Oryctolagus cuniculus: one gene and its partner. Each later gene encodes a partner of the first gene's protein in a complex. Links are inferred from orthologs where the notes say so. Each region holds a gene or a part of one and is shown in the gene's direction. Other genes may lie near its edges.

What was found. Proteins that work in one complex are often made in the same cells at the same time.
Region 2: the proteins of DKK1 (region 1) and KREMEN1 are in contact, whole or in part, in a crystal structure (PDB 5FWW), measured with the Homo sapiens proteins. The link is inferred for Oryctolagus cuniculus from reciprocal best matches to the Homo sapiens genes DKK1 and KREMEN1. Residues at the interface, in NP_036374.1 of Homo sapiens: Cys189, Leu190, Arg191, Ser192, Ser193, Cys201, Arg203, Trp206, Ser207, Lys208, Lys222, His223, Arg224, Arg225, Lys226, Gly227, His229, Gly230, Leu231, His261; in XP_011528731.1 of Homo sapiens: Pro67, Asn88, Asp90, Asp92, Ser94, Trp96, Gly105, Val106, Tyr107, Trp108, Tyr110, Asp127, His128, Gly129, Pro132, Thr140, Asn142, Glu164, Ser165, Tyr167, Ala168, Phe170, Asn189, Val191, Phe193, His196, Asp203, Gly204.

Annotation. Positions count from the first base shown.
Region 1 is NC_091446.1:45,399,032-45,403,183, forward strand, and holds DKK1 (dickkopf-related protein 1 precursor), read left to right. Parts: upstream 1-1,335; 5' UTR 1,336-1,476; coding exon 1,477-1,722; intron 1,723-1,943; coding exon 1,944-2,106; intron 2,107-3,067; coding exon 3,068-3,211; intron 3,212-3,325; coding exon 3,326-3,579; 3' UTR 3,580-3,959; downstream 3,960-4,152. UniProt on the Homo sapiens protein: Antagonizes canonical Wnt signaling by inhibiting LRP5/6 interaction with Wnt and by forming a ternary complex with the transmembrane protein KREMEN that promotes internalization of LRP5/6.
Region 2 is NC_091452.1:22,586,501-22,590,017, forward strand, and holds part of KREMEN1 (kremen protein 1), read left to right. Parts: intron 1-189; coding exon 190-274; intron 275-2,531; coding exon 2,532-2,700; 3' UTR 2,701-3,517. UniProt on the Homo sapiens protein: Receptor for Dickkopf proteins. Cooperates with DKK1/2 to inhibit Wnt/beta-catenin signaling by promoting the endocytosis of Wnt receptors LRP5 and LRP6.

The DNA of each region.
Region 1 (4,152 bases):
AAAAAAAAAAAAAAGCAACCTCCTAGAGGGCAGCCAGATGCCAGGGCATCAGGCTTCCAGGGTGTGTTTGTTGAATAAACAGACTCACAGCACAACATCCTTGTACAGCAGTCTGACAACAGTCTGGGGCAGAAGCCTGGCTTTCCCATTTTTACAAAATCTTACACGAGTCTGATTTACTTTCTGGCTCACTTGCCATCCTCCCTGGCCCCAAGGTAGTCTCTTATCTCCCACCGTCGCGGGGAGGCACAGACTTGCGATCAAACACCGGCGTTCCGAAGCCTGGGCGATGGGAACCACTAATGAGGAAGTCAGGCGCTCAGCCTTGGGGGATCTTATCCCCTGCATTAACCCACCGCTGAGAAGCGGACCCAGGGAAAGAAGGCTGACCCAGCACGTGGGACCCTGTCCGCTCTGGCTCGGGGCCACTTTGATCTCGCACGTCTGCCTCATCAAGGTCATCTCAGATTCCAAGATTAAATAGTTAGATTATCAGATGGCCATTTCCCTCTTCCCTCTACCACCCCTGATCTAATTTCCAAACTCCAGTCTCTCGCCTCCCTCTCTAAACTTCCCATCAAAAGAGAATTAGTTCTTCTTCCTTGTTGACCCGCGTTTGATGTGCAAATTCCCTTCTCTTTGCACTTCTTTTTTTTTTTTTTTTTTTTTTTGCCGCTGTGGCCGGGCCGGGAGGCGGTGTGTGTGTGTGTGTGTGTGTGTGTGTGTGTGTATAGGGGTTACAACTGGATGAACCTCAAGCCTAGGACCTCACCCACGCCTGCAAAACCGCGACTCCAGGAGGGCTCATGAGCAACTTGCAAACGGCCACCTGGTACACCTCCGGCAGGGACGGTCGGCTGGAGCCTTTGCGTTAATCTTTTCAGGCTGCATCTAACACTGAATGTGATTTTGCTTGTACGACAAACCAGGGCCGGTGGTGGAAGACCGGCCAGGAGCGAAGAGCGGATCTGCAGCGAGTGCTGACCGTGAGGCTCTGCAGCCTGTTGCAGGTCCGTCTCGCCCGCGCCCTGCTGCCAGGCCAGTGCACCCAGGGTCTCAGGGTCCCTCCCGCCTCCAGCGAGTCCTCCGGTCCACTGCCCCAAGCTGTCCGAGACGCGTCAGCCCGAAGCTAGCTGGGCGGAGGGAACACCTCGCGAGGTTGGGGCGGGGTGACGAGAGTCAAAGGCCCCGCTTCTTGTACACAAACACACCCCCTGCCAGCCCCTCCCAACTCTTTGAAATCCCATCCCGGCTTTGTCATCCTCTCCCCCCACCCCCGGAGGGGCCGGAACGCTCCGAGCCCGCTGTATAAAGGCAGCCGCGGTGGCGGCGGCGGTTCAGTGCTGCCTGCGGCTGGCAGTCGGGACGCGGAGACCCTGACCCCGCAGCCGCGCCAGCACGGCTTCCTTCGGGACCGGGCCTGCGAAGGGACGTGCCTCCTCTTTTTCCTTCTTTCTCCCACCGAGTCCTTCTGAAATGACGGTTCTGGGCGCAGTGGCCGCCCCGCGGGTCCTGGTCGCCCTGGTAGCGGCGGCTCTTAGCAGCCACCCTCTGCTGGGAGTGAGCGCCACCTTGAACTCGGTGCTGGTCAATTCCAACGCCATCAAGAACCTGCCCCCGCCGCTGGGCGGCGCTAACGGGCACCCGGGCTCTGCAGTCAGCGCCACGCCCGGGATTCTGTACGAGGGCGGGAACAAGTACTTGCCCCTTGACAACTATCAGGTGAGCGGGGTCTCGGGGGATGCTGCCACGCTGCGGCCTTCCAGGGCGGGGGGACCCATTTGCCGGCGAGGGTGGAGGTTGAGGGTGCTGGGCGTGTCTGGTTGAGGGTGAGAACCGGCAGCCCAGAGCTGCAAGGGCTTTTGGAGAGGGGTTCAGCCAGGTGACCCTGACGAGCGTTCGGGTGCCTGGCTCCTCACCGTCTCCCCGCCGGCTCCCCGCAGCCGTACCCGTGCACAGAGGACGAGGAGTGTGGCACGGATGAGTACTGCGCGAGTCCCGCCCGCGGAGGGGGCGCCGGCGTGCAAATCTGTCTGGCTTGCAGGAAGCGTCGAAAACGCTGCATGCGTCACGCGATGTGCTGCCCCGGGAATTACTGCAAAAACGGTGAGTCCGGCGGCTGGCTCCCGGCTCTGGCTCTGCGAGCGCTGGGGCGCCCGCCACCTGCGAGCGGGAGGCGGAGTTGGCTGCAGATCTCTTCCCTGGGAGCAGTAGACAGAACTCTGCAGTTCTCCTGGCTTTTTCCTCTGTGCCCCTGGGGGGCCAGTTGAGACTGGAGAGGAGAGGGCGAGGAGGGGGTCCCTGAGAAATACCCGGGGGACCAGCCCTGACTTTCACTGCCCTGGTCCCTTTTTCTCACGGTGACTCTCAGGGCTCCTCCTTTTGAAACTGATGTCTGGTGACTTACCTGCGCTGGCCGTTTTTCAGGGAGATCTTGATACCCTCACCCGTGGGGTTCTCGGCCCCTCACTCTTCCTTCCACCCTCGCGACCTTAAAATAAGCACTTCCCTTCCCTCCCTCCCCACACCGAGCCACTAAAAGTTAAAGCCTCCGGGGTGGCGACCCTTCTCGGGACCCAGCTGGACCCCGGGACGAACTTAAGTCTCTGTGATAGAGAAATGACATCGTCGGGGAACTGGTGAGACCAGCATCCTCCGGGCAGCTGGAATTGCATTTGCTTGACGCAGTCTGGCAGGACTCATAGAGCCCCAAGTCGCAGCAGAGAAGTTGTGTTGAAGAACAATGACGATTTCTTTTTCCTTACTCCAAGGGGGACAGTAAAATGGGCAGAAACCTCACTGCCCCTCCCACAGTTTGTGGGAGAGTATTTTCAATGGCTCTACCGGGACTGATGCCCGGGAGGCAGCCGTGCACACGTGGATGCTGCTGTCCGCTGGGGAGTTCCGCAGGGACACTAGGGAGGAAAGTTGCCTTGTGCTTAAAATAATGCCCCTGCACCTGAGAGGTACCTCACGTGCATCAGTCACCGCAGAGTGCTTCTGTCACAGCTGTTGGCAAAAAAAGCATTACCGCCTGGGAGTTAATCACTGTTACCTGCTTCCTTAGGAATATGCATGCCTTCTGATCACAATCATTTTCATCGAGGGGAAATCGAGGAAACCATCGTCGAAAGCTTCGGGAACGACCACAGCACCTCGGATGGGTATTCCCGCAGAACCACCCTGTCTTCGAAAATGTATCACGCCAAAGGTAGGCGGAAGGTGCCCTGATTCGTGGGCATGCCTAAGCTGTTTTTGTAGTTGTCTCCCTGGAATGATGATGGCTTGGCAGTGACGGGTTTTCCTGCTGTCTCCTCCTTCGCAGGGCAGGAAGGTTCCGTCTGCCTTCGCTCATCAGACTGCGCCACGGGGCTGTGTTGCGCCAGGCACTTCTGGTCCAAGATCTGTAAGCCCGTCCTCAAGGAAGGTCAAGTGTGCACCAAGCACAGGAGGAAGGGCTCGCATGGGCTGGAGATTTTCCAGCGCTGTTACTGTGGAGACGGGCTGTCTTGTCGGCTGCAGAACGATCAACATGAAGCCAGTAACTCTTCCCGGCTTCACACCTGTCAGAGACACTAGACCAGTCGTGGACATGCGGTGGACTCCTATAATATATACTAGGGAAACCTCTTATGACTTTTCTCAGCTCAGTCCTAAGGATGTACAAATTCAATGATTACCATTAAGCATTCCAATAATACCTTCCGAAAATCTGGAGTGTAAGAGCTTTGTTTCTTGATGGAACTCCCCTGTGATTGCAGTAAATTACTGTGTTGTAAATTCTCAGTGTGGCACTTAGCTGTAAATGAAATGAAACTTCTTAATTATTTTTCTAAAAGTGCTACATTGTCTATTGTTTCTCTTGTTATGTAAATGTTTGTATACATTGTTACCTTGACTCTGATAAATATTCTATATTGAATTGAAATAAATAATTTCAGTTTATGGTTCCAGTTCTTAAGTGTATAGCCCCTTTCCCTTTTAATTCTAGAGTCTGAAAAGGCAAAGAACTCTTGGTAGAAATGATAGGCACCTAAAATTTACCATGAAAATATGAGCTTATTTTTCAAAATGTACCATCTCAATGATTAGATTTTTATTTCCTACTAGGCTGTGATAGTCTTTGAAATAAAATTTCACATTTATATCCTG
Region 2 (3,517 bases), on another chromosome or scaffold:
CCCTGCTCAGCCTGGCTGTCAGCCAGTCCGCTACCTTTTGCTGGCTACCTTCCCCGGTGCCCACCTGCAGGGGCCCCTCAGCCAGCCCTGCCTCTCCAAGCTGCCAGTGTTCACTTGGGGCTTTTGTTAGACCTCAGTTTGGAAACAAGGCACAAAGAGGCCCAGTAAACTCTGTCTGTTCACTTGCAGGGTGGACAGTGTATGGCCTAGCAACTCTCCTCATCCTCACAGTCACAGCCATTGTAGCAAAGATACTTCTGCACGTCACATTCAAGTGAGTATGCGAGAGAGCTGCCCGTTCCGGGGGTGGGGGTGGGGCAGAGAATGCCTCTTCTAATACGCTTCGTCACTCAGGGCACGGTGGTATCAGAACGTGATTCCAAATCCCTTAGTCCTGGGCAGCAAAAAGCAGTAACCCATCCTCCTCCCTGGAGTGAAATGTGCAACTGGACAGAGCCCACTGGGGCCTGAGCATTAGGTCTGCCCCTGTGTCCAAAGGATCTGATTTCAAGGAGGATTGAAACAGCCCTGGCATGAAAGCAACCCTTTCCCTGTGTTGGCTCATGCTGGGCTCTTACTCAGAGATCTTTATGAGAGAATGAAGATTCCTGGGACAGAACCACACATGTTCCCGTTGTCTTCCAGAAACTGGAAAGCGTTCTTGGGAAAAGAATTCTAATGTTTTGTTCACTATAGTTTAATAATTGTTTTTAAAATGTATTTAAGAAACTTACAGAAACTTCACCCTTTGATTCTGACCAAGTTCATTAAAAAAAAAATTCCTCCCTTGACTTTGCTGTTTGGGTTTAACAGTTTCACCTCCTAGGAGAGGGGAGTTTGTTCTGATGTTTGTGAACCTACAAAGGGGAGTTGTCCTTATTTTTTTTCCTAACTTGTATTTATTTATTTGAAAAGCTGAAAGAGAGACAGAAGGGGTTCCCCTCTGTTAGTTGGGTTCCCATCTGCTAGTTCGCTCCCCAAATGCCCATGCGGTTAGGCCCGTGCCAAGGACAAAGCCAGGAGCTGGGAACACAGTCCAGGCCTCCCATGTTGGTGGCAGGAGTCCAGCTAGTGAAGCCTCGCTGCTGCCTGCCGTGCACTGACAGGGAGCTGGAGTCAGGAACCAGAGGCATTCGGGTAAGAAGTCTTGACTCCCAAGTCAGTTGCCCACCCCAGTTCTCCCTAATGTTTTCTAGAGCCCTGGTTGGTCTTTCCTGTGGTTCCCAGTTCAGGCTCTTCTCCCAGTTCAAGGCCTTCCGGAACAGATGTTCTACAGAGGCCTCTTTCCTCTGACCTTCCCCCCACCTCGGCCACAGACTGTTTACATGTGAAATGCAGGCCCCTCCATTGTCCTGCGAAGGCCGCCTGTGGCAGTGTTGGGGCTGCCGTAGCAGACCTCCCCGCCTGGTCGTGAACTCTCTCCAGTTGAAGCAGTTTACTGAACTCCTTCATGCTTCCTCTGTATACAGTTGTCTCTCAACATCCTCGGGGGATCGGTGCCAGGATCCCACTGGATACCAGAACCTGCAGCTGCTCAAGCCCCTTGTATATAAAGTGGGGGAGGAGGCGGGTGCTTGGCGCAGCAGTTAGGATTCCACTGGGGACACGTGCATCCTGTGTCAGAAGGCCTGGGTCTGTCCCAGCTCTACTTCCCACTCCCAGGCTCCCGTCAGTGTACACCGTGGGTAGCAGCAGGTGATGGCTGCCACCTCGTGGGAGTCCCAGGCTCCTGGCCCAGCCCCAGCTGTTGTGCACATTTGGGGAGTGAACTGATGGTTGGAAGATCTCTGTCTCTCTGAAGAGAAATAACTTTTTTAGACTGTAGTGTAGTATTTGCCTATAATCTGAGCACATCCTCCCAGTCCCTTAGGTTTCTTATAATACCTAACACAATGTAAATGCCGCACGAGTAGTCACTGTACTGTTGGGGAATAACCACGCTATAAAGAACATAGAGAAGCACGATATTGTTGGTTAAACGTGCCGGTGTGGACGCTGTGTAGATGGAGGGCCAGTGGTTTTTCCTGCATTTTGTCAGTTACGGTTCACACGCTCTGGGGAGGCCGACTGCACGTTCCCCACAGCAGCAAGAGAGCAGGACGCTTTCTGTGAGGCATCACTGGGCACGCCCCTGTGAAAAGGCACACCGCGCTCTGTGACCGCAGGGCCAGCGCGGAGGACGGCAGAAGCCGAAGGGTGGGGTCCTTACTTCAGGCTGAGGGGGTTTGCTTTGTCCTGTTTTAGCTAGGCTGCCTTCCAGGTAAATGGCATTTGAAGAAAGAGCTCTTTTATTTAAAATAATAATAATAATAATAATAATAATAATAATAAAAATGAAGCGCAATCTGAACACTCGCAATCGGCCGGAGCAGCGCTCTCTTACTGGCAGAGCTGCCGAGGTGAGGCTGCCCCGGTGCTGTGCTGCCGCAGGCCACTGCCCTCACCAGCAAGGTGCCTGCTGCACGTCCCGTGTGAACGTCAGTGTTGTGGGTGCTTTGTCCCGTGCTACTTTGAAACTTTCTGTTTGGCAGATCCCATCGTGTTCCTGCGTCCGGGGACCTTCGGGACTGTCGTCAGCCAGGGACTTCAGGGGAAATCTGGAGCATTTTTTATAAGCCTTCTACATCGATTTCCATCTTCAAGAAGAAGCTCAAGGGTCAGAGTCAGCAAGATGACCGTAATCCCCTTGTGAGTGACTAAAACCCCAACGTGCCTAGGACGTGCGGTCCCTCTTAGACTCAAGGCTGGTGGGGTCGACCTCTCCTGGGCTCCTCGGACTGACTCTTCGCTGCCGCTCCCTCCCCCTTGGCCTCTCCTGGGACGCCCTCCTACAGACCAGGAATGGGTGCCGCACAGCAGGGGTAGGCCAGCCCTGAATTCCTCCTGCTGCACCGGCAGGAGAGAGACTCGAGGCCTGGCGCCCAGCCCTCCCTGCGTCCCTCTCCCTGATCTGACGGTGGGGGTGTCAGTGCAGCGGGGCCAAGGAGACGCAGGTGGCCGTGGCTGGCCCCGGCTCAGGGACGCTCTGGATGCGGTAGGGTGGTGGGTAGGGTTAGCACATGTTAAGGTTCCTTGATTCTCTGTTGTGCCACACACGGATCGGTTTCTCCTAGGAGAATTCTCAGGTTCTTTTGAGGGCTAGCTGGTCCTGCACAAGTGTGGACTCCTGGCGTTAGCACCCGCAGGTGTGAGGAGAGCCCATGCTCTGTGCTGGCCCTGGCGCTTGGCTCTGTGGGTACTGGCCTGGGATGCACCTCCTCCAACATGGAGGGCCTGAGAAGGGGGTCTCGTAGTCCCCTCATGTCAAACCTGACACCTTCCGCACGCAGGCTTCTTTCGTGGCCTGCAGAGCAGCTTCAGGAGTGCTCACAGAGAACATGGGGCACACCCTGCTGGGGGCCGTGAGGGGCGCTCGGTGCCCACATGTGGGATCGGGGTTGCCTGGCCTCACGGTCATGTGGAGCGCGAGCCAGCCCTGGTCTGCCCGTGTTCTCTCAGCTGACTCCCAGTGCAGAAC